Linked DNA regions of Saccharomyces cerevisiae S288C. Changing the gene in region 4 together with the main gene of any one other region gives a genetic interaction. Each region holds a gene or a part of one and is shown on either strand. Other genes may lie near its edges.

What was found.
Region 1: mutations in MAL11 (region 4) and TCM62 together harm fitness more than expected from each alone (negative genetic interaction), as found in Saccharomyces cerevisiae (2 studies listed by BioGRID).
Region 2: of MAL11 (region 4) and ATH1, a mutation in one rescues a mutant of the other (synthetic rescue), as found in Saccharomyces cerevisiae (one study listed by BioGRID).
Region 3: mutations in MAL11 (region 4) and MRX18 together harm fitness more than expected from each alone (negative genetic interaction), as found in Saccharomyces cerevisiae (2 studies listed by BioGRID).

What each region holds. Positions count from the first base shown.
Region 1 is NC_001134.8:323,315-328,183, forward strand, and holds TCM62 (Tcm62p), read right to left. Parts: upstream 2,746-4,869; coding exon 1,027-2,745; downstream 1-1,026. Other genes in the region: QDR3 (Qdr3p), read right to left, coding at 1-631; protein phosphatase regulator GIP1, read right to left, coding at 4,859-4,869. UniProt on the Saccharomyces cerevisiae protein: Chaperone. Required for the assembly of succinate dehydrogenase subunits. Ensures mitochondrial gene expression at elevated temperatures and prevents heat-aggregation of the ribosomal subunit VAR1.
Region 2 is NC_001148.4:613,390-620,017, forward strand, and holds ATH1 (alpha,alpha-trehalase ATH1), read left to right. Parts: upstream 1-1,989; coding exon 1,990-5,625; downstream 5,626-6,628. Other genes in the region: TFIIH complex kinase subunit CCL1, read right to left, coding at 1-1,169.
Region 3 is NC_001134.8:345,426-350,145, reverse strand, and holds MRX18 (17-beta-hydroxysteroid dehydrogenase-like protein), read right to left. Parts: upstream 2,268-4,720; coding exon 762-2,267; downstream 1-761. Other genes in the region: U4/U6-U5 snRNP complex subunit PRP6, read left to right, coding at 2,845-4,720.
Region 4 is NC_001139.9:1,072,927-1,077,842, forward strand, and holds MAL11 (alpha-glucoside permease), read right to left. Parts: upstream 2,888-4,916; coding exon 1,037-2,887; downstream 1-1,036. Other genes in the region: alpha-glucosidase MAL12, read left to right, coding at 3,673-4,916. UniProt on the Saccharomyces cerevisiae protein: High-affinity uptake of alpha-glucosides such as maltose, turanose, isomaltose, alpha-methylglucoside, maltotriose, palatinose, trehalose, melezitose and glucose. Acts with the concomitant transport of protons into the cell (symport system).

The DNA.
Region 1 (4,869 bases), on a different chromosome or scaffold from region 4:
CAGAAGCAGCCCCACAGAGCATTCTCAAGGCAATAAATGAGTTGATATCAGGAGCTAGAGCAGACCCGATATTAAATGCAAACAATAATGCAAATGAAGTTATGTAAGTAGTTCTTCTGCCCTCTAGCTCGGATAGAGAAGACCACCACAATGGGAAAACACCAAGACTTAAAAGGTACACACCAATTGAAACGTTTACCATAATCACTGATGTTTTAAATTCTGTTGTGATTGAGTTGATCGCTGGAAAAATGATAGATGTGCCCATGGGGCCCATCATGGAGGAAAACGCAATCAAGAAGACAATCATCTTTTTCATCATCGGTGGATAATCTCTGGCATCCTTGAACTCCGGTATAATGGCGAGTTGAGGCAATAGTCCCCTACGTTGATTCTTTGGAACAACGTATTCCTCACTCTTCAACCTACTTAGCTGGTTGTCTCTGTGTTCACGACTATTTGATGCCGTACTTTCCAGATTGGTCTTTTCGTAACTATAATCGTTGTGCTCGCTGTGCGGGCTGCCGCTGCTTTCATCGCAGTGCATCATAACATGATTGTTCGGTAGTGAATTGTCAGAGCAATTACTCCTCAAAGACCCTACATTCGATTGTGAACCTTGGGCTTGCATGTTTATCGCTTTCTGACTTCGGTCCTAGCATAGACGTTAACAAGTTAGAAAGATGTGAATACATATGCCTTCAACCCTGTTTTCTTTTAAGGATACAAGGACACAGCTATTACAACAAATTTTGTTGGTTTCTATCTTATCTAATCGATAATCTTTTAATATTTTAATCTAATCGCAGTTATCCAAAACTGGAATGAGATGGTTCAAATCCCCAAAGGTAGATGGAGTTACTGCTGAGGCGTGGAAAAACCCGAGTTTTTCCGAAGCCGCATATGAGAAATTGAGCAGGAATAATAGATATTTACGAAGAGGTAAAAGTGATAAAAGGCAGCGCCGTGGCAATATCTATTTACAATGACTCATTCTGACTATTTAAAAGTATGTAAGGGCTTTATCTAGGCTTTGTGCCGTTCAGGCTTTTTGTATACACATGTGATAATTGTATTACAGCTTGTAAGTAATTCAATGAACGTTTCTACACCGGCTAAACAAGAATCCATTTTGCTCCATGGCTCCAAGTTTCCATCCTTTACTGTGTTCACCGGTTCTGAATTTGGAGAAAACTTGGCCATTGGAAACGATTTTTCGTTTATAGCGCCTGCTATCAGGCTATTGATCTCATAATAGTTGTACCCATATGCATTCTTAAACGCCACTTCTGATGGGAGAATAACTGCTGATAAAACAGCATTGATGCCTACCTTAGTCATGAAATTGGGTTCATTTGCTTTCAGTTCATTCAAACCTGGAATTGCCTTCAGTAGGGAGATGCCGTAACCTGGGATGAAACCTTTGGCCAGCCCATGACATAGGACGTTATTTAAGCAATTATCTATTGCATTTCTTCTTCTGTCGATTTCGATTTCGTTATGTCCACCAATGCTTAAAGTGACCGTATTTTGGAGGAAGGATTTCGGAACTTTATTTGGAATCGCTTCAGCATCAATGGAGTTATATAAGAATGCCTCCCCTGTGGTCGCTTTTATGGATTCGATACTGCCGTAATATTTATCCGCACACATTTTGCTTGGCACTAAAGGACTATATTCTGGTGAGTAGATGCTGTCATATCCGCAAGGCAACCGTAAGAACTTTATAAAATCAAGATTCTCCTGTGGCGCTAAGTCATTGTTCGCCTTTTTAGAGTACTTCAAAACCACTATTCGGCTTTCATTATTTTCTCTCTTGTTTCTGTTATTGTTAATTGTAACGGATGTTAATGCATCACCTGTGCAATCTCCGTTAACGATTAAGAGAACAGATTTTCTCAACTTTCTTGCATACGTTATCGTGGGTAGAATTTTATTAGCGTCTCGTAACGTCCCATCATACATAAGAACTAGCATATCTTTATCAATGGAAACTAATTTCTTAGTAGGCAACTCCAGGGACCTTAAATAGGCTTCATTACTATCTAAAATACCAGCTGGATATTTCCAACCCTTGGATACATCAACCTCATCGTAAGTTTTGTTGCCGTTTATGACCCGCACAATGTCATCCGAAAACAATTCATAATTAATGGCTTTCAAAACCCTTTTGATGCTTTGGCTGTCTGAGGAGGACATAGTCAATTGCTCGACCAGAGCATCAACATCGTTTTGACTTTTCACTATAATCTTGTTCTTCGCAAGAAAATCTCTGATATATCGTAATCCGGCCTTGATCCCATTGGTCACTTCTTTTTCGGGATACTTGAAATAGTGCTCCAGTAAAGAGCATGTCAAAGATGTTGAAGTTGCTGTTAAGTTGTCCTGAATGCAATCCATGAATAATTGTAGACCAACCCTCCCCAGCTTTCGAGGCCTGTTTGATTGAAGTCGTGTGTTGGTAGCTTCATCTACTTGTAGGGAATCTAGTAACTCACGCATTACATTGTGAAGTCTCATGGTATCATGAGAACTAACGACCTGTGGCTTGGATTTATACTTAGGTTCATATATCAATGTTTTATTGTAGGAGGATGAAGTTATTATTTTTTCCAACAGCTTAATACCAGAGAGCGTATCTCTGAGAACCTGAAGGTTTTTTGTTCTATAGATTGGGGTGTGTAACGTTTTTACCGAACATTTCGTTTGATGATTTCCCAATTTCCTCAAACAATTCCTCAGCATACTCGTTAAAGCATAAGAGAGTTTTATGTTTACAGTAGTGTGGGAGAAAATAACGCCAGGTTAAAGCTCGTAAAAGGTAAACTATCGCACTATCGAAACTTTTGTTTCACAGGGAATGGAAGAAAGGGCCTTTATTTTTTACATTTTTTTAAGCCATAACGGATTTTAGTTACCGAGATTTTCAATCCTATAAGAATTACCTAAACTATTAAAAGCGGACCCATCTAAAACATAACGTTCGGCAAGTAGATGTATTGTTCCAAAAAGGCAATACATCCATACAACGGTGCCACCGATCTGTAATGAATGCTCCGTAATGTTTGGGGGATTCATTAAATTTACTGCTGGAACCGAGAGAGAAACACGACAGAGCAATTCATATAAATGAATAAATGAAAACTCGGTCGTATTGCCCTTAAACGTTTATAGGACCAGGTTGGCTACTTCCTCATCTCAATTTTGTGATAGGGGAGGTCTGCGTAAGGAATCAATTCGGATACCTTGGTAGTACTTTTAGGGGCACATTTTTTATTTCTACTTCTTGTATTATTAGGTATCACTGAGATCTATCTCTAATGATGCCTTCACTCCCACAGATAGCGGAAGACATTAATGCACTTCAAATCAAAACTTCTTCAACTAAAGCTACTCTTTTCGAACGCAGAAGATATAATTTCATTCCTAGAGACTTTCTACGAACCTAAAGTAGCAAATTTAAAAAAATAAAGAGTTTGATCCAACCGAGGTTCGAACTCGGGATCTTCGCCGTGTAAAGGCGACGTCTTGAACCACTGGACCATTGGACCCGGAACTCGATACTATGTCATTTTTGGATATCGGTTAGTTGTATACATTGGATATCTCATCTAAAAGCATTACGCATGCCCTATAACTGGTAAATTCAATGAATGTTTTGTAAGTTGAGGGGATGCTAATTCCCTACGAAGTATTTCTATATTATGTGCAACTACATCAAGAAGATAATATTAAAGTTGTTGGAATAAGAATCTGTTGGAATGGAAATCAACTATCGTCCATCAACTATAGTTATACTACTGGTATTATCATATACGATGTTAGATGATGACATAAGCTATGAAAAAACTGCCATTGAAGTTAAAGGAAGCTGAAATGCAAAGATTGATAATGTAATATGATAATGAAACATTTAAAACGGAATGAGGAATAATCGTAATATTATTATGTAGAAGTATCGATTCCATTCGAGGATTCCTATATCCTCGAGGAGAACTTCTAGTATATTCTGCATACATAATATTATAGCCTTAATCAATAAAAACCCCAAGAATTACCTCAAAATTCACCAATATCTCAAAATCAACCTTCATCTGTCTACCAGTAGTCATATTATTATATGTTATCATATACAGTGTAAAAAAGATGATATAAAGATTGAAAAACAGTCATCAGATGTTTGGGAAGCTGAAATAAAATATAGTAGGACAATGGGTGACAATATATAAAATGGAGAAAGAAATAGTAGCCTTATTACGTAAAAGTATCAATCTCTTTTGTAAATTTTTGTATCCTGGGGAAGAACCTTTATCATATTCTCTATTCCTAATGTTATAACCTTAACAACAACGAAATCCCAAAAATTATGACAAAATCCACCAATATATCAAAATTCACATAAAGAAAGCCGTATTCTATATAACATTGCAGAACATTTTTCTAACACATTACCAATCGTCAAAGTTCTGCCTTTACTAAATCAGGTGCTGAATTTTGAATCATATATAAATAGCCAAGTAGTTTGTGCGGTCGATTCCAACGCCGCTTATAATCCTATTCCAGCAATATTAACAATGTAGTCTTAAACTGATATGGTAACGACAGATAGAAGATAGCTGACCCATATTCAACCAAATATCTTGTCTAGAAAGGCGCATTTGATAGGCAAAAAATTGCACAGGCGTATTATCTTTGTATGCTAATGCTTTTTTATGTTATTCACTGAATACTAACTATCAGTAGTTGATTCCCTCTTAGCTACAAATGCATAACTATATGTATAATCACGTAGATAATGTATTGATGTAAAGTGAAAACAATTTTACAGAGTATTGGCAGTTAAGTGTTGTTTTTTCGCTCAAAAAACAT
Region 2 (6,628 bases), on a different chromosome or scaffold from region 4:
TTTTTCTCAACGGTGGACGAAGTATCTTCTCCATTCAACTTCCTTTTTAATTTCTGAATCAGTGTTGATGGATTTTGACAATAATAGTTTTTTGCCGCAATTTTCTTGGCCTCTTCAGTACTCGGAGGTTTACAATCTTCAATAATACTTTTACACTCGCGTATTATGGTTAGTAACTTCGCGGAGTCTATCGAATATTCTTCGCTCTCTGTGGACTTCTCTTTGTTTTTCTCAGTTGTACTGGCATCATTTTGTGGTTCTTCTTTTTCGTTTCCCGGTACTGATTCCTGGCTACCTTCTCTGCTGGGAAATTTTGTTTCTAAATACCTTGTGACCAAGGCTTCATCCTCAATCAATAATGTTGCTAGTGTTATTTGGGGTGGAGTGTAGAAATATACGACATCGGTTAATAATGCGGCAGTTATTCTCTTCTTACACCTATCGTATATTTGGCCCATGTAATTTAAATCAACCTTACCATAAAGGACGTTCTGGATATCTAAGAAAAACCCATGAAGCGGTTTGTAAGGATGATGGTTCAACAGTGAAAATTTCAATGATTCTAACAACTTAAACTCGAATTTGAGAACACTATCTCTAGTAGATTTGGCCTTTTGAGCAAACGAGTCCACGCTAATAAAATAGTTCTCCGATTTGCAGGCTAGAAAGATAGTAGTATGTACAATACTTTTAGGATCTATTTGCATAACAGAATTTTCTAAGAAAAAACGCCTAAAAAAGGATATCGCAGTGGCCACTACTTCGGTTGGCAAATTTAGATGCTGTGCTATTACCTGAACTTTTTTTGCGTAGAAATTCACCAAATCGAGTTCTTCTTCCATTGTCAAAGGGATAGCCTTTGCTTCTAGTACTTTTATTTCTTCTTCTGTTAAATTGTGTGCTTCTCTAAATTTTAATAAATTTTCCTCAATGTAAGCAATCGCTCGGGCATTGGTATCTACCCTTTTCTCCTGAAGTTGATCTTTAGTGTATGACCACATTCTATACTGAGAAGAGTGCCTATATAAATCATCGTCAGAAATTCTTTTGTAGTTCGGTGGCTTGTTATTCTCATCAGCCGATTTTAATTTTGCCTCTTTTTCTTTTGCTGACATGGTAGCAGAAGGAGTATCTAATGTACTCTTTCCATTTAGTTGAATATCCGTCATTCTATCAATATCTGTGCAGCACAGTATTTTCCTCTCTTAAACTTAATATTCACTCATTTGTTTGAGATCTTTCTTAATATAAAAACTGTGTTAAGATCAAATTTATTACCCGGATTGTGAACGGCTTAAACAACGAAGGGATACCGCAGGAAATGAGAGGCCCTTTCTTCTCTGGATGGCAAACAGTTCGTGCTATCAAAGTCTGTACCAAGGTTATTTCACTCTTCAAGCCAGCAATAACTACTTTCTTTCAGGTCACCTCTCAGCCGTCACGTCTCTAGCTGAAGCTTTGTTATTCTCGCTTCACTAAAAACAAGTGTATCTACAATATTTACCAGTCTATTCGTATATCCCTTATCATTCTTTTTCAATAAGGGCAAATACTTCGGAAAAAGAAAGGAACATTCATCTTGATTCTAGCCGTAAAGCTATCACGTTCACTCTAAGCAAGCGGAAAGTTGAGCAAAATCAACGAACAATCTGAGTCAGCAAGGCAGTACAAGCATCTCTTCTTTGCCCCTCAAAATTTATTTCCTTTTTGGTATAGTCTTACTTCCAAGTCCAAGCAAGCACTACGTATCACGACAAACCAACAGCCGCGCCGTTTTTATATTCGGAAAGAGAATTCTTGTCGTTATTGAATAATAATAACAAAATTTCTCCACTTTTCACCATATTACCACTCCCTTTTTTTCAAGTAAAAAAAAAAAAAAAAAGAATCTTATTGCTCCTTAAAAAAGGATTCATCAGTCCTTTATGAGAGCCTGCTAGTATCACCTAATATTGCATCTGTTTTTACCGAAATTTCCTCATTCCAATAATGAAAAGAATAAGATCGCTTTGGTTCAATGCGGAGGCTTCTTATTCAAACCTTAACAATTCTCCTAGTTTGAGGAACAAAAATAGTACCGGTAATAACTCTCGCTCTAAAAATTATCGTTCTTTCTCAAGGTTTGACTTGATCAACTCTATACTTTTACTGATGATGCTATTTTTATTAGCTATCTTCGTCACTGCATTATATTTAACAAAGAGTTCCAGGCTTACATACTCACATGCCTCGAGGGCTGCCCTATTTAACCCTCTGGGTGTGATATCGCCGTCATTGGGAAATCATACGTTGAACTACGATCCAGAAGCAAGGGAATCTTCTAAAAAACTTTATGAACTCCTTTCTGATTTCAACACGGCATATTATGATGATGAGAACATGATTTTGGGAAGTAACTTGTTCTCAAAGAATACATACTCGAGACAACCATATGTTGCTAACGGTTATATAGGTAGTCGTATTCCCAATATTGGGTTCGGCTATGCCTTAGACACCCTGAATTTTTACACAGACGCACCAGGCGCTTTGAATAACGGTTGGCCCTTAAGAAATCATAGATTTGCCGGTGCGTTTGTATCGGACTTTTATTGTCTACAACCAAAACTAAATTCAACAAACTTCCCAGAATTGGATGATGTAGGATATTCCACTGTCATTTCATCTATTCCACAATGGACCAATCTACAGTTCTCATTAGTGAATGATTCTAAGTGGTTCAATCCACAAAATGTTACGTTGGATGACGTAACTAATTATAGCCAAAACTTATCAATGAAGGATGGTATCGTAACTACGGAGTTAGATTGGCTAAACAGTCAAATACATGTTAAAAGTGAAATCTGGGCACATCGGCACATTCATCCACTGGGAGTGGTTTCTTTGGAAATTTCCCTGAATACGGACCATTTACCTTCGGATTTTGATTCATTAGATGTTAATATATGGGATATACTTGATTTCAACACATCACATAGGACTGTTCTACATAGCACGGGAACAGACGAAAAAAATAATGCGGTTTTCATGATTGTTCAGCCAGATAACGTTCCATCTTCTAATTGCGCTATTTACTCAACGTGTACTGTAAAGTATGAAAATTCCACCAATCCAATAAATTCTAGTGAATCTTTTGAAGAAAAAGATGTTTCTTCTAATATTTATAATGTTATTTTGACAGAGGACCAACCCAAGATAATCGTTCATAAGTATGTTGGTATTATGTCTACTGAGTTCAATAAGAACAAAGAACAACAAGACAATACTAATATTGGTTTGGCCAAAATGATAGCTCTAAACAGTAAAGGCAATTACGAGAAGCTTCTGTCAAGTCACAAACGTGCGTGGTATGACCTTTACAACGACGCCTTCATTGAAATTCCTTCTGACAGTCTTTTAGAAATGACAGCAAGATCGTCCCTATTCCATTTACTAGCAAATACAAGAGATTACAATGTCTCGAGCGATAGGGGTCTTCCCGTGGGAGTTTCTGGTTTGTCATCAGATTCCTATGGTGGTATGGTGTTCTGGGACGCAGATATATGGATGGAACCTGCCCTATTGCCTTTCTTCCCAAATGTGGCTCAAAATATGAATAATTACAGAAATGCTACACATTCGCAGGCAAAGTTAAATGCAGAGAAATATGGATACCCCGGAGCAATATACCCCTGGACATCTGGTAAGTACGCTAATTGTACTTCTACGGGACCTTGTGTCGATTACGAATACCATATTAACGTTGATGTCGCTATGGCCTCCTTTTCCATATACTTGAATGGACACGAAGGGATTGATGACGAGTATCTGAGATATACTACATGGCCAATTATCAAAAACGCAGCCCAATTTTTTACTGCTTATGTTAAGTACAATTCTTCCCTAGGATTGTATGAAACATATAATTTGACAGATCCCGACGAGTTTGCTAATCACATCAATAACGGGGCTTTCACGAATGCTGGCATTAAAACACTTCTAAAGTGGGCAACAGACATTGGCAATCATCTCGGCGAGGTCGTTGACCCCAAATGGAGTGAAATTTCCAAAGATATTTATATCCCTAGATCCTCATCTAACATCACTTTGGAATATTCTGGTATGAATAGCTCAGTGGAGATTAAACAGGCGGATGTGACTTTAATGGTTTACCCACTTGGATATATCAATGATGAATCCATATTGAACAATGCAATTAAAGATCTTTATTATTATTCAGAAAGACAGTCTGCGTCTGGGCCTGCAATGACATATCCGGTTTTTGTGGCCGCAGCTGCTGGTCTGCTGAATCACGGCTCTTCTTCTCAAAGTTACTTATATAAATCGGTTCTTCCATACTTACGGGCTCCTTTCGCTCAATTTAGTGAGCAATCAGACGACAACTTTTTAACAAACGGATTAACCCAGCCAGCATTCCCCTTTTTAACAGCTAACGGTGGATTTCTACAGAGCATTCTGTTTGGGTTAACAGGAATCCGATATTCTTATGAGGTTGATCCAGATACTAAAAAAATTAACCGTTTGTTAAGGTTCAATCCAATAGAACTACCGTTGCTCCCTGGTGGTATCGCTATTAGAAACTTCAAATATATGAACCAAGTTTTAGATATAATAATTGACGACCACAATGGTACGATTGTTCATAAATCAGGAGATGTTCCTATTCATATAAAGATACCAAACAGATCTCTAATACATGACCAGGATATCAACTTCTATAATGGTTCCGAAAACGAAAGAAAACCAAATCTAGAGCGTAGAGACGTCGACCGTGTTGGTGATCCAATGAGGATGGATAGGTATGGTACCTATTATCTTTTAAAACCGAAACAAGAGCTTACAGTCCAACTGTTCAAGCCTGGCTTAAACGCAAGAAACAACATAGCGGAAAATAAGCAAATAACAAACTTGACGGCCGGCGTTCCTGGTGACGTTGCATTCTCTGCTCTAGATGGGAATAATTACACGCATTGGCAACCCTTAGACAAAATTCACCGTGCGAAGCTATTGATTGATTTAGGTGAATACAACGAGAAAGAGATTACCAAGGGAATGATTCTTTGGGGGCAGAGGCCCGCAAAAAACATTTCCATATCTATTTTGCCTCATTCTGAAAAAGTCGAAAATTTATTTGCGAACGTGACAGAAATTATGCAAAATTCGGGAAATGATCAACTTCTTAATGAAACCATTGGTCAGCTTTTAGATAATGCCGGAATTCCTGTCGAGAACGTTATTGATTTTGATGGCATAGAACAAGAGGATGATGAATCTTTGGATGATGTGCAAGCCTTATTGCACTGGAAGAAGGAAGACTTAGCCAAGCTAATTGAACAAATACCCAGACTTAACTTTCTAAAAAGAAAATTTGTGAAAATTCTGGATAACGTGCCAGTGAGCCCAAGTGAGCCATACTACGAAGCAAGTCGCAACCAGTCGTTAATCGAGATATTACCCAGTAATAGAACGACTTTCACTATTGATTATGATAAATTGCAGGTGGGTGATAAAGGGAACACAGATTGGAGGAAAACAAGATACATAGTTGTGGCAGTACAAGGAGTGTATGATGATTATGATGATGATAACAAAGGAGCTACAATCAAGGAAATTGTTCTCAATGATTAAATGAAATGATGCATATAAGTAGCGCTTTTTTTAATATTATAAGTTTGGATAAAAGTTACCAATTTTTTCGTAGGATATATATTTTAAAGGCACTATATTGAAAATATCATGCATGCTTATATAAAAGCTTTTTTTTTTCTATAGGGTGACATTTAGGAGCAATAATTTTTACTACAAGCTTTTTTTGCACCTTATATAGTAGTGACCTTGAAATTGGTCTTTTGCACCAGCGTACTTTAATTCCACTAAGTACTGTTTAGCAGCCTGTTTTCCAGAGCCCACAACAGTTTTCTATAAAATTTTCACATGCATTATATAGACATGATCTACCTACCAATTTGATCTTCCTGCCATTGAGATCAGTTCTTTCATTACATTGATTGCACATTTTTAATTGGCGCCTTTTCTAATTTTTTGTATGAGTCCATATTAAAAAAATAGACTTCAAATTCCTACTAGACGATTCTGATTCCATCGGGATTACCACCAGATTTGATATTGGCTCTTCTCTCGTCAGTAGGGTTTGAACAGAAATATTCCTAAATTTCTCGCAACTTAAATTAAATTTGCAACGATAATGTTTGCATACATTTTTATATTCTAGATTCAATACATTAGAGGTAACTTGATGTAGCGCCAATCTGAAAATACAGAAGCCTACTAGGCAAATATTTAAAGCTCTATATACTATTCACGAAAGAAAAACGTACTTTGTATAAATTGAAGAAAATGAGTTTGTGTTAGTTGGGTCCTGCCATTTGGTATCCTGAAGGTTTTCTCAAGGTGGGGTGGGCTAATCTACAGGAATAGTTTATAGTAATTGTGTGTTAAGAAGTATTTTGGCTTTAAATGACGTCCCCCACAAATTTATTACTTCAGGTGTATAATGTATTCACAAATATGTTCGTTTCTTTTTTGCTCTTCATCGTCCCCAGTTTTTCCTCACCCTTACAAAACAAAAACGGCAGGAAAAGGGTCCTATGTAAATTAAGCAAACACTGCG
Region 3 (4,720 bases), on a different chromosome or scaffold from region 4:
TTTCTTGATGGTATAAGCTACTATAATATTAGGAACGGCCGATACCTGGCGACAAAAGTTCAAAATACCCAACGGGCAGCTGGGCTTATGGAACAACGCAAAAACAATTTTCGGTCATTATATCAAAGTTTATGGCTATGAAACAACAATATGTGTGGCTGCATGTTTAGCCAATGACGCCTTTTTTATAACCCTGCCAAATCCCAACTTCAAGGCAGCTTAATACCTCCAATACATCTTTTGGGAGGTTGATTCAAACATTCACAGCAGAGTAGCTTATACGCTTATCAACTCATCTTTCCTCTGATTAAAAAGAGACTCTGGCTTGCTTTGTAATATTATTTATTTTGGCTCAAAGTTTTTACTTAATTTCCTCCATTATTGCTCTATTCGGAAATTTTTAATAACTCTCAAATGCTTAAAGATCGCCCATGTTACTTGAGTTTTTAATTTAAATAGTTCACCTTACTTGAATGTTCTATTGGGTAAAATAGAATGATTTGAAGATGGCAAATACTAAAAATATCATAGCGCTTCATCTTGATTACCATTATTCCGGTGCTTTTATGATATTGCGTATCAACTTCATTTAAAGAAAAACCTCATTTCAGCTGAAAGTAAAAGTATTGAGTACTCTACTGGCAGTAGCTGGATAATTGAAAACTTACGAAGTGCCGCCACAACAGCTTTTTTTTTATTTTCGACAGTAAACCAAAAGAATAGAAACGCCTATAGTTAGTATATATGTGTTTGTATATTTCTTAATACTTATTAAACTCATCTAACCCACGTTGGTAGCCTTGATCCCATTCCCACATAAATTCGCTATCTTTTTTGGCAGAAACGTATTCAGCTCTTCTTTGCGACTTCCATGAATGCCATCTACCAATTAATGAATTGTCAAATTTCCTAAAGGCAATTATATCATCAACAGCTGTCTTTATGCCATCCTCAAACCTCCAGTGTTCAAAATTTTTACCTTTACCGTTCCAATAAGCCTCGTGTTCATGGATTATTGAATCTATTTTCTTCTTGTCGACTTGTAAGTCATCACCGTGAGGACGTTTTGGTAAATTTCCTTTCTGCATCATGGGAGCTAAGCCCCATTCACCTCCATCACCGTATTCAAACTGCAAAGTCCAAAAAAACCAACCCCAACTAGCTACATGAGAAAATACATCTGCTTGGGTTTGTACGTATTTTTGAACAATAGCGTCTCTGTCGCCAGAAGTTTTATTCCAAGTTTGTCCATCAAGAACACCAGAAAATTCACCAACAGTATAATCGGCATCTTCATGAGGAAAATTCACAGTATTTGGCAAATCCTTGATAATGGAATTGGCATCCTTCGACTTATCAGAATCAGAAAAACAGCGGTAGACATGAGAATCAATGACCACTATTTCACTAAAATGTTTTTCTTTAACCCAGTCTGCCCATTGTTGGGGCCACCAACCATCGGATATTATGACAGGTAAACCTGGTTGAAGTTTTTCAACGGTATTAATGGCTTCTGAATAATAGAATTTTTGGCCCTTTGGGTTATTATCAAAACATGCCTCATTAACCACTTGAATACCAATGATGTTTTCGTTGCCCAGAGTCATTGTGTTAATAATTGCAGGTAAAATATCTTTGTAGACTTTGGTCATGTACTTTTCCTTGTGGAAAAACGCAGCTTCACCACTCTTCGAGCCACTGTGTGAGTCGCAATTAGCGCCTCCTGGTAGACCATGCAAATCTATCAATACACCAATGCTCATTTTCTTGGCATTATTGATTAATTCGCCAAGTTTTTCCCAAGGTTTGGCTAACTCATAAACTTTTCTCAATGGGGCAAATGGAAGCGAATCTAAATGCTTCCCATCTTCGACATGCCAATATCCAATTGGAATACGTAACGCTGTAATATGGGCATCTTTAGATAGCCATTCCCAGTCAATTCGATCAATGTACTTTTTATAGTGATCGCTTAACATTTTCGCAACGTCTTCAGAAGAATGCTTCTTCAATTGTTGGGAAATAGCATCAAATTCGCTATCATATTCTTTCCCATCGATTGTACAAATGGTTTCTTTAGAAAAAATCCATGGTTCGAGCACAAATAACGCACCCAAGTTTACACCATAATTGTAACGGTACTTGTAGATAGTTGATCTATCAAGGTCCTTTGCAGGGGGTAGTTTCGGTAGTGTTGTAGATAAATTTTGACCTCCCTTTTCAGAAACTTTGAAATGCTCAAATTTGTTTCTAAGTGAGCCAATCATTCTGTGCAGTTCAAAAGTTTTAATAAATTTTATAGATGGATAGAGAGTCTTTTTTAAAGCAACTCTTCCCAACAGAGTTCGAATTGAAGAAAAGAAAGTTATGTCTTAGTTCATCCATCCCCCCTAATTCCCTTCTTTTAAGCATTTTTTAAGCCATGATGGCAGAGAAAATGTATATTAAAAAAATATTACTGAAGGATGCGAGGTTCGAACTCGCGCGGACAACCGTCCAACAGATCTTAAGTCTGCCGCCTTAGACCACTCGGCCAACCCTCCGTATAAATGAATAGTTATTTTCAATAACCACACTTATATTAATTGTATTAATTGCAGCACTCTTTCTTTAGTAGCTCCTCCGGAGACCTTTATGAAATGATGGCGTTTCTTCTTTTAATAAATAATGTAACGAAAGTATTTTTAAAAGTCTTCTTTACCGTTGATAGAACCTTGGGCTAATTTAACCAGTACATTTATAGTGTGTCAGATTGTTCTATTAAGCAAAAAAAAACGAAAAATTTCAGAAAATATACGGGTGAGTTGACATAAAGAGTTTAACAGCAAGAAAACGTCACATTTTATGGAGAGGCCATCTTTTTTGGATCAAGAACCACCTGCAGGTTACGTACCAGGTATTGGTCGTGGAGCCACTGGATTTTCAACAAAAGAAAAGCAAGTGGTTAGTAATGATGACAAAGGAAGAAGAATACCGAAAAGGTACCGTGAAAATTTGAACAACCATCTTCAAAGCCAACCGAAAGATGATGAAGATGATGAAGCTGCAAATGTATTCAAAACGCTTGAATTGAAATTAGCACAAAAGAAAAAGAAAAGAGCTAATGAAAAGGATGATGACAATTCAGTTGATTCTTCAAACGTGAAACGGCAATTTGCCGATTTGAAAGAATCATTAGCTGCTGTAACGGAGAGTGAGTGGATGGATATTCCGGATGCCACAGATTTTACAAGAAGAAACAAGAGAAATAGAATTCAAGAGCAATTAAACAGAAAAACTTATGCTGCACCGGATTCGCTAATACCTGGGAATGTTGATTTAAATAAATTAACGGAAGAACGAGAAAAATTATTGCAATCTCAAATAGATGAGAATCTTGCACAATTAACGAAGAATGCAAGTAACCCTATACAGGTTAATAAACCGAACGCTGCTACCGATGCCCTAAGTTACTTAAAGGACTTAGAAAACGATAGAGTAAATTCTCTCTCAGACGCAACGTTAGAAGATTTACAGAAAATGCGCACAATTTTAAAGTCATACAGAAAGGCCGATCCAACAAATCCACAGGGTTGGATAGCTTCTGCCAGATTAGAAGAAAAGGCAAGAAAATTTTCAGTAGCAAAAAAAATAATAGAAAATGGTTGCCAAGAGTGCCCTCGAAGCTCCGATATTTGGCTAGAAAACATTAGACTACACGAATCTGATGTTCACTACTGTAAAACATTAGTGGCAACGGCAATAAATTTTAATCCAACGTCTCCGCTTCTTTGGTTCAAAGCTATTGATTTGGAAAGCACAACGGTTAACAAATATAGAGTAGTGAGAAAAGCACTGCAAGAGATTCCTCGAGATGAGGGCCTATGGAAGCTAGCTGTCAGTTTTGAAGCTGACAAAGCGCAAGTTATAAAAATGTTAGAGAAAGCCACACAATTTATTCCACAAAGTATGGATCTCTTGACTGCATATACTAATTTGCAAAGCTATCATAATGCTAAAATGACTTTGAATTCCTTCAGAAAAATCCTTCCGCAAGAACCGGAAATTTGGATTATCTCTACACTCTTGGAAGAACGAAATAACCCAGATATACCTGTAGATAAACTAGTTAGTTTGCTCAAGGAGGGTTTATTGGAACTCTCTAAAAATGGGTACAAAGCGACCTTGTCAGCATGGTTGAAACGTGCAGAGGCTCTAAATGATGCGCCCAATTCAAATTTAACCTGTCAAGCCATCGTTTACGCTATATTAGAATGGTTAAGAGAAAGTGGCGAGTATGAGTCTGAGTTGAATAATGTTGATCAGATATTAGAAAAAATGCCACACTCAAAGGTACAAATTGCTGTCTTAAAAAAGCTTATTCAGTGGGATCCTTGTGATACAGTTCTTTGGTCTAGACTGAAAATGGCCACTGAAAGCTACCATAAAATTGAAGAGTTATTAGCATTTTTCCAGGAGCTGCTATTTCAGACCAAGAATAGTGATGATATACGAGCAAATATGAGGGAGAAAAGCCCTGGCTTGTTAATGATGTATGTAAGCGAATATTGGAAGGCCCAAAAAGGGGATACTAGGCAAACACTAGTTTTGATTGACCAGATTATAGATTTCGCCCCGCATAATTTGGATTTACGCTTTTTCAAGATAAAGTTATTAGGTCGTTCACTACAACTTGATGAATTACGAGATTTTTTTCAGCAAACTTTCTCCTCTTTAGAGG
Region 4 (4,916 bases):
AGAAAAGAAGCGATGTTTTTCACAATAATGCAATATATATCTCTATTCTTAGTAATAATAACAATATCTACTGAAGAAAAGTAATACGCCACATGAAGACTAACGACTTTATAACCTCTCGCAAGGCAGACGAGGACTGTCAGACCATTGAAAACTTGACGAACTTGTACACTAGTAGATTTCCCATATTCTTCCTCCGGTTTTTTGAAATCTTGTTTGACTTTATACTGAAAAATAGATCAAAGAAGCCATATCAGTGGCGGCTAATTAGGTAATATTTATAAAACAATTCCATTATATTCAAATTCAAAGTGATAGATTTTTGAATCACAATTTCTAATTAGAACACCTTCACCACATACTGCTAACACGAAATTTACCTAATTGTTTGTGAGGATGACGACCACATGGGTTTGATTTTTTTTACTAATCGCTTTTGTATATCAAATGCAATTTATTATTATTTTCATGTCACCAAGAAAGAATAATTCTTTGAAATGGTTGTTTATATCCTCAGAATTGGAAAATTATTTGCCAAGCGATTGTGAAACTATGTGATATGTTTTGAGATATTTCATGAACCATATAGAATATGCATAGTATATCCCAATAAAGCATTGAATTATGAATGTCGTATCTCTATAAGCTCTCACATTAATGCTTCAAAAATACTTCATAAAACATTATAATATAGTTTAATGTGATTTTTGCGTGATTCTCTCCTTCTTTTTATTAAGTGTATGGACATTTAAAGTAACAGTTAATTGAGAATACGGTTGACCTGGCATGTTGTTCGAATCAATATCCAGGCACAAGTACCAGGTGCTAAAGAAAAAGTACTCTCATATTTGCTTGATTGCTGCTTGGGCTATTTTAACTAACTACTAACAATATTTTGCTTAAAAAATGGTAAATATGAATGTTTTACAGAAAAATAAAAAATGTATATATATAAAATCTCGAGCTAGCTGAGGGTTTTGGGAGCAGTCAAAGGGATTCCTTATTTCTTCCAAAAAAAAAAAAACAACCCTTTTACTTAACATTTATCAGCTGCATTTAATTCTCGCTGTTTTATGCTTGAGGACTGACTGATACTCTCATCAGCTAGCGAATCATGTTGAGTTTTTCCCTTTCCGAATGGATCAACCACAGTAGATGCAAATTTTCTGGCAGGAACCCCTTGGTTGAAAAGTTCATTAATTTCACTGAAGGTTCTACCAGTTGTCTCAGGCAGATCGATGATGACCCAAGCTAAAGTGACTGCTGTGAAACCACCCCAGTATAGACCAGTTTTGGCACCCCAGTTCCAATCGCTCACGTTTAGCATATAGGGCGTTAATATAGCGTTAATAACGGCCATGAGATTGTAGCAAATACGGGCCAGCACTATAGTCTTAGTTCTCAACTCCGCTGATGGAATTTCAGCAACGATACAGTAAACAACTGCACCGATACCAGCATTGTAAAAGAATGATAAAGCCAGCAATAAACCACCGGCACCATTACTAGCGCTGCTTCCAGAACCAAAACCCATTCCACCAATAATAAATAAGCAGACCATTTGAAATGCAAGACCATAGGTCAGTATTGTCCATCTACCAACACGGCCAGATATTACCCAGGAGCAAAGTGTACCCGCTAACCCAAGACAGTACTGAATTAGAGAAAAAGTAAACGCCTTGTCGGTGGCCATACCTGCTCTTTCAAAAAAATATGTCGAGTAACCAAGTAAAACGGCACCGCTACTATTTTGAGCTACCCAAGTTAAACATGCAAGTCTCGTTCTTCTTCCATTAACTCCCTTGAAACAATTAAAGAATGATCCTGATTTAGATGCTAAAAGTCTTTCTTTTTCAATAGTCAATTCAATCTGCTTTAAAGTAAGATCAACTTGAATGTCCTTCTCGGCGCCTTTACCACTCAAAATTCTGCTTAAAGATTTTCTTGCCTCAGCGACCCTATCCTTTCTCACCAACCACCAGGGCGACTCAGGAGCGAAAAAGATACCGATCATTAAAGGAGCAGGCCAAATCCATTGTAAAGCAAATGGCAATTTATAGCCCAAGTCGGAGTTCCCTAAATTCTCTTGTGAGTTTTTCATAATACCAGAGGCGAAGATTTGACCAAATAACCAACAAATGTTGGAGTAACTGGTCATGTAATATCTTAATGCTAAAGGGCAAACTTCCGAAGCATAAGTAACAGCCAAACTTTGGAAACAACCCCATGGTATAGCTGAGAGAATTTGTCCCACAGCAATCATAGCTAAACTTTTACAGTAGTAGAGGATAAAGATATAAGCAGTTAACAAACCAAGTGCTGTAATCATCGTATAACGATTCCCCATAAATTCAACCATATAAGTCGTGATTTGCAAACCAATCATCTCACCACAAAGGACACACATGTTTAAACCAATCTGCCATTGGGAAGTAATTTCGTAAGAACCCTCCCCGTTCAAAGTACCGAATTTTCTCTGAAAAACTGGCAGGGCATACAGTGCGCTCAGTAGTGCGGTATCATAACCTTCCATAACCAGGGTAGTAGACACTAATATGGACCACAGGGCTGCTTTTGGATATTTTAGCAACGCCTGCTTCAAAGTCATGCTTTTTTCCTCGCTGTTAGCTTCATTTGCATCATCAGTAGCGTTCATCTCATTAATCACATTCTCGTTATCTTCGTCAGAATCTCCTAACTGGGCTGAATTGGTGGTGAACTCTAAGTGGTCTAGCTCAAAGGCACTATCCTTTTTCCCTTCTTCAAAATCTTCAGTATTGAAAACCTCCTGTTGGTTTACAATATCTCTTGAAGACTCAGAAATGTTTTTATCCTCATTTTTTGAGGCAGCCTTCTTCTTGCTTACCAATGAAATGATATTTTTCATATTATACTATTTTTTTAGTTGTTTGATGTTCTTCTATGTAGCATCAGAAAGAAACACCAACCCGAAAATTCTTCAAACAATCAATACCAAACCGCTTTATATAAAAAATTAAGATGTCGACATTCCTTATTTTTTACTGAGTTCGTTAAAGTTGGGTACACTCTTGATTACTGTAATTGTCTCTGTATGTCCCTCAAGCCCGGTACGTTGTCATTTTCTAGTACGCATCAACGGAGTGTTACATGATAGATAGACCGAGTAGAATCTATGGCTATGGGGTAATTAAAACCTTAAAGCTCCTTTCGCTGCCATAGTAATACGAATAGACCTTGGCTATAGTAAGTTGCATCTGTACCGTAGAGATTCTTGCAACTCGCTTAAACTCTCGCTTTTAGATAATATTTCTCCTTATTGCGCGCTTCGTTGAAAATTTCGCTAAACACGGGGTTTAAGTTAAAGTTTACAGGATTTATCCGGAAATTTTCGCGGACCCCACACAATTAAGAATTGGCTCGAAGAGTGATAACGCATACTTTTCTTTTCTTTTTTTAGTTCCTAGCGTACCTAACGTAGGTAACATGATTTGGATCGTGGGATGATACAAACAACGTAAGATGAATAGTTCCTTCCTCAATTCTTCTTGCAGCATCATTTTCTTGAGGCGCTCTGGGCAAGGTATAAAAAGTTCCATTAATACGTCTCTAAAAAATTAAATCATCCATCTCTTAAGCAGTTTTTTTGATAATCTCAAATGTACATCAGTCAAGCGTAACTAAATTACATAAATGACTATTTCTGATCATCCAGAAACAGAACCAAAGTGGTGGAAAGAGGCCACAATCTATCAAATTTACCCAGCAAGTTTTAAAGACTCCAATAACGATGGCTGGGGTGATTTAAAAGGTATCACTTCCAAGTTGCAGTATATTAAAGATCTTGGCGTTGATGCTATTTGGGTTTGTCCGTTTTATGACTCTCCTCAACAAGATATGGGGTATGATATATCCAACTACGAAAAGGTCTGGCCCACATATGGTACCAATGAGGACTGTTTTGAGCTAATTGACAAGACTCATAAGCTGGGTATGAAATTCATCACCGATTTGGTTATCAACCACTGTTCTACAGAACACGAATGGTTCAAAGAGAGCAGATCCTCGAAGACCAATCCGAAGCGTGACTGGTTCTTCTGGAGACCTCCTAAGGGTTATGACGCCGAAGGCAAGCCAATTCCTCCAAACAATTGGAAATCTTTCTTTGGTGGTTCAGCTTGGACTTTTGATGAAACTACAAATGAATTTTACCTCCGTTTGTTTGCGAGTCGTCAAGTTGACTTGAATTGGGAGAATGAAGACTGCAGAAGGGCAATCTTTGAAAGTGCTGTTGGATTTTGGCTGGACCATGGTGTAGATGGTTTTAGAATCGATACCGCTGGTTTGTATTCGAAACGTCCTGGTTTACCAGATTCCCCAATTTTTGACAAAACCTCGAAATTACAACATCCAAATTGGGGGTCTCACAATGGTCCTAGGATTCATGAATATCATCAAGAACTACACAGATTTATGAAAAACAGGGTGAAAGATGGTAGAGAAATAATGACAGTCGGTGAAGTTGCCCATGGAAGTGATAATGCTTTATACACCAGTGCAGCTAGATACGAAGTCAGCGAAGTTTTCTCCTTCACGCACGTTGAAGTTGGTACCTCGCCATTTTTCCGTTATAACATAGTGCCCTTCACCTTGAAACAATGGAAAGAAGCCATTGCATCGAACTTTTTGTTCATTAACGGTACTGATAGTTGGGCTACCACCTACATCGAGAATCACGATCAAGCCCGGTCAATTACGAGATTTGCTGACGATTCGCCAAAGTACCGTAAAATATCTGGTAAGCTGTTAACATTGCTAGAATGTTCATTGACAGGTACGTTGTATGTCTATCAAGGTCAGGAGATAGGCCAGATCAATTTCAAGGAATGGCCTATTGAAAAGTATGAGGACGTTGATGTGAAAAACAACTACGAGAT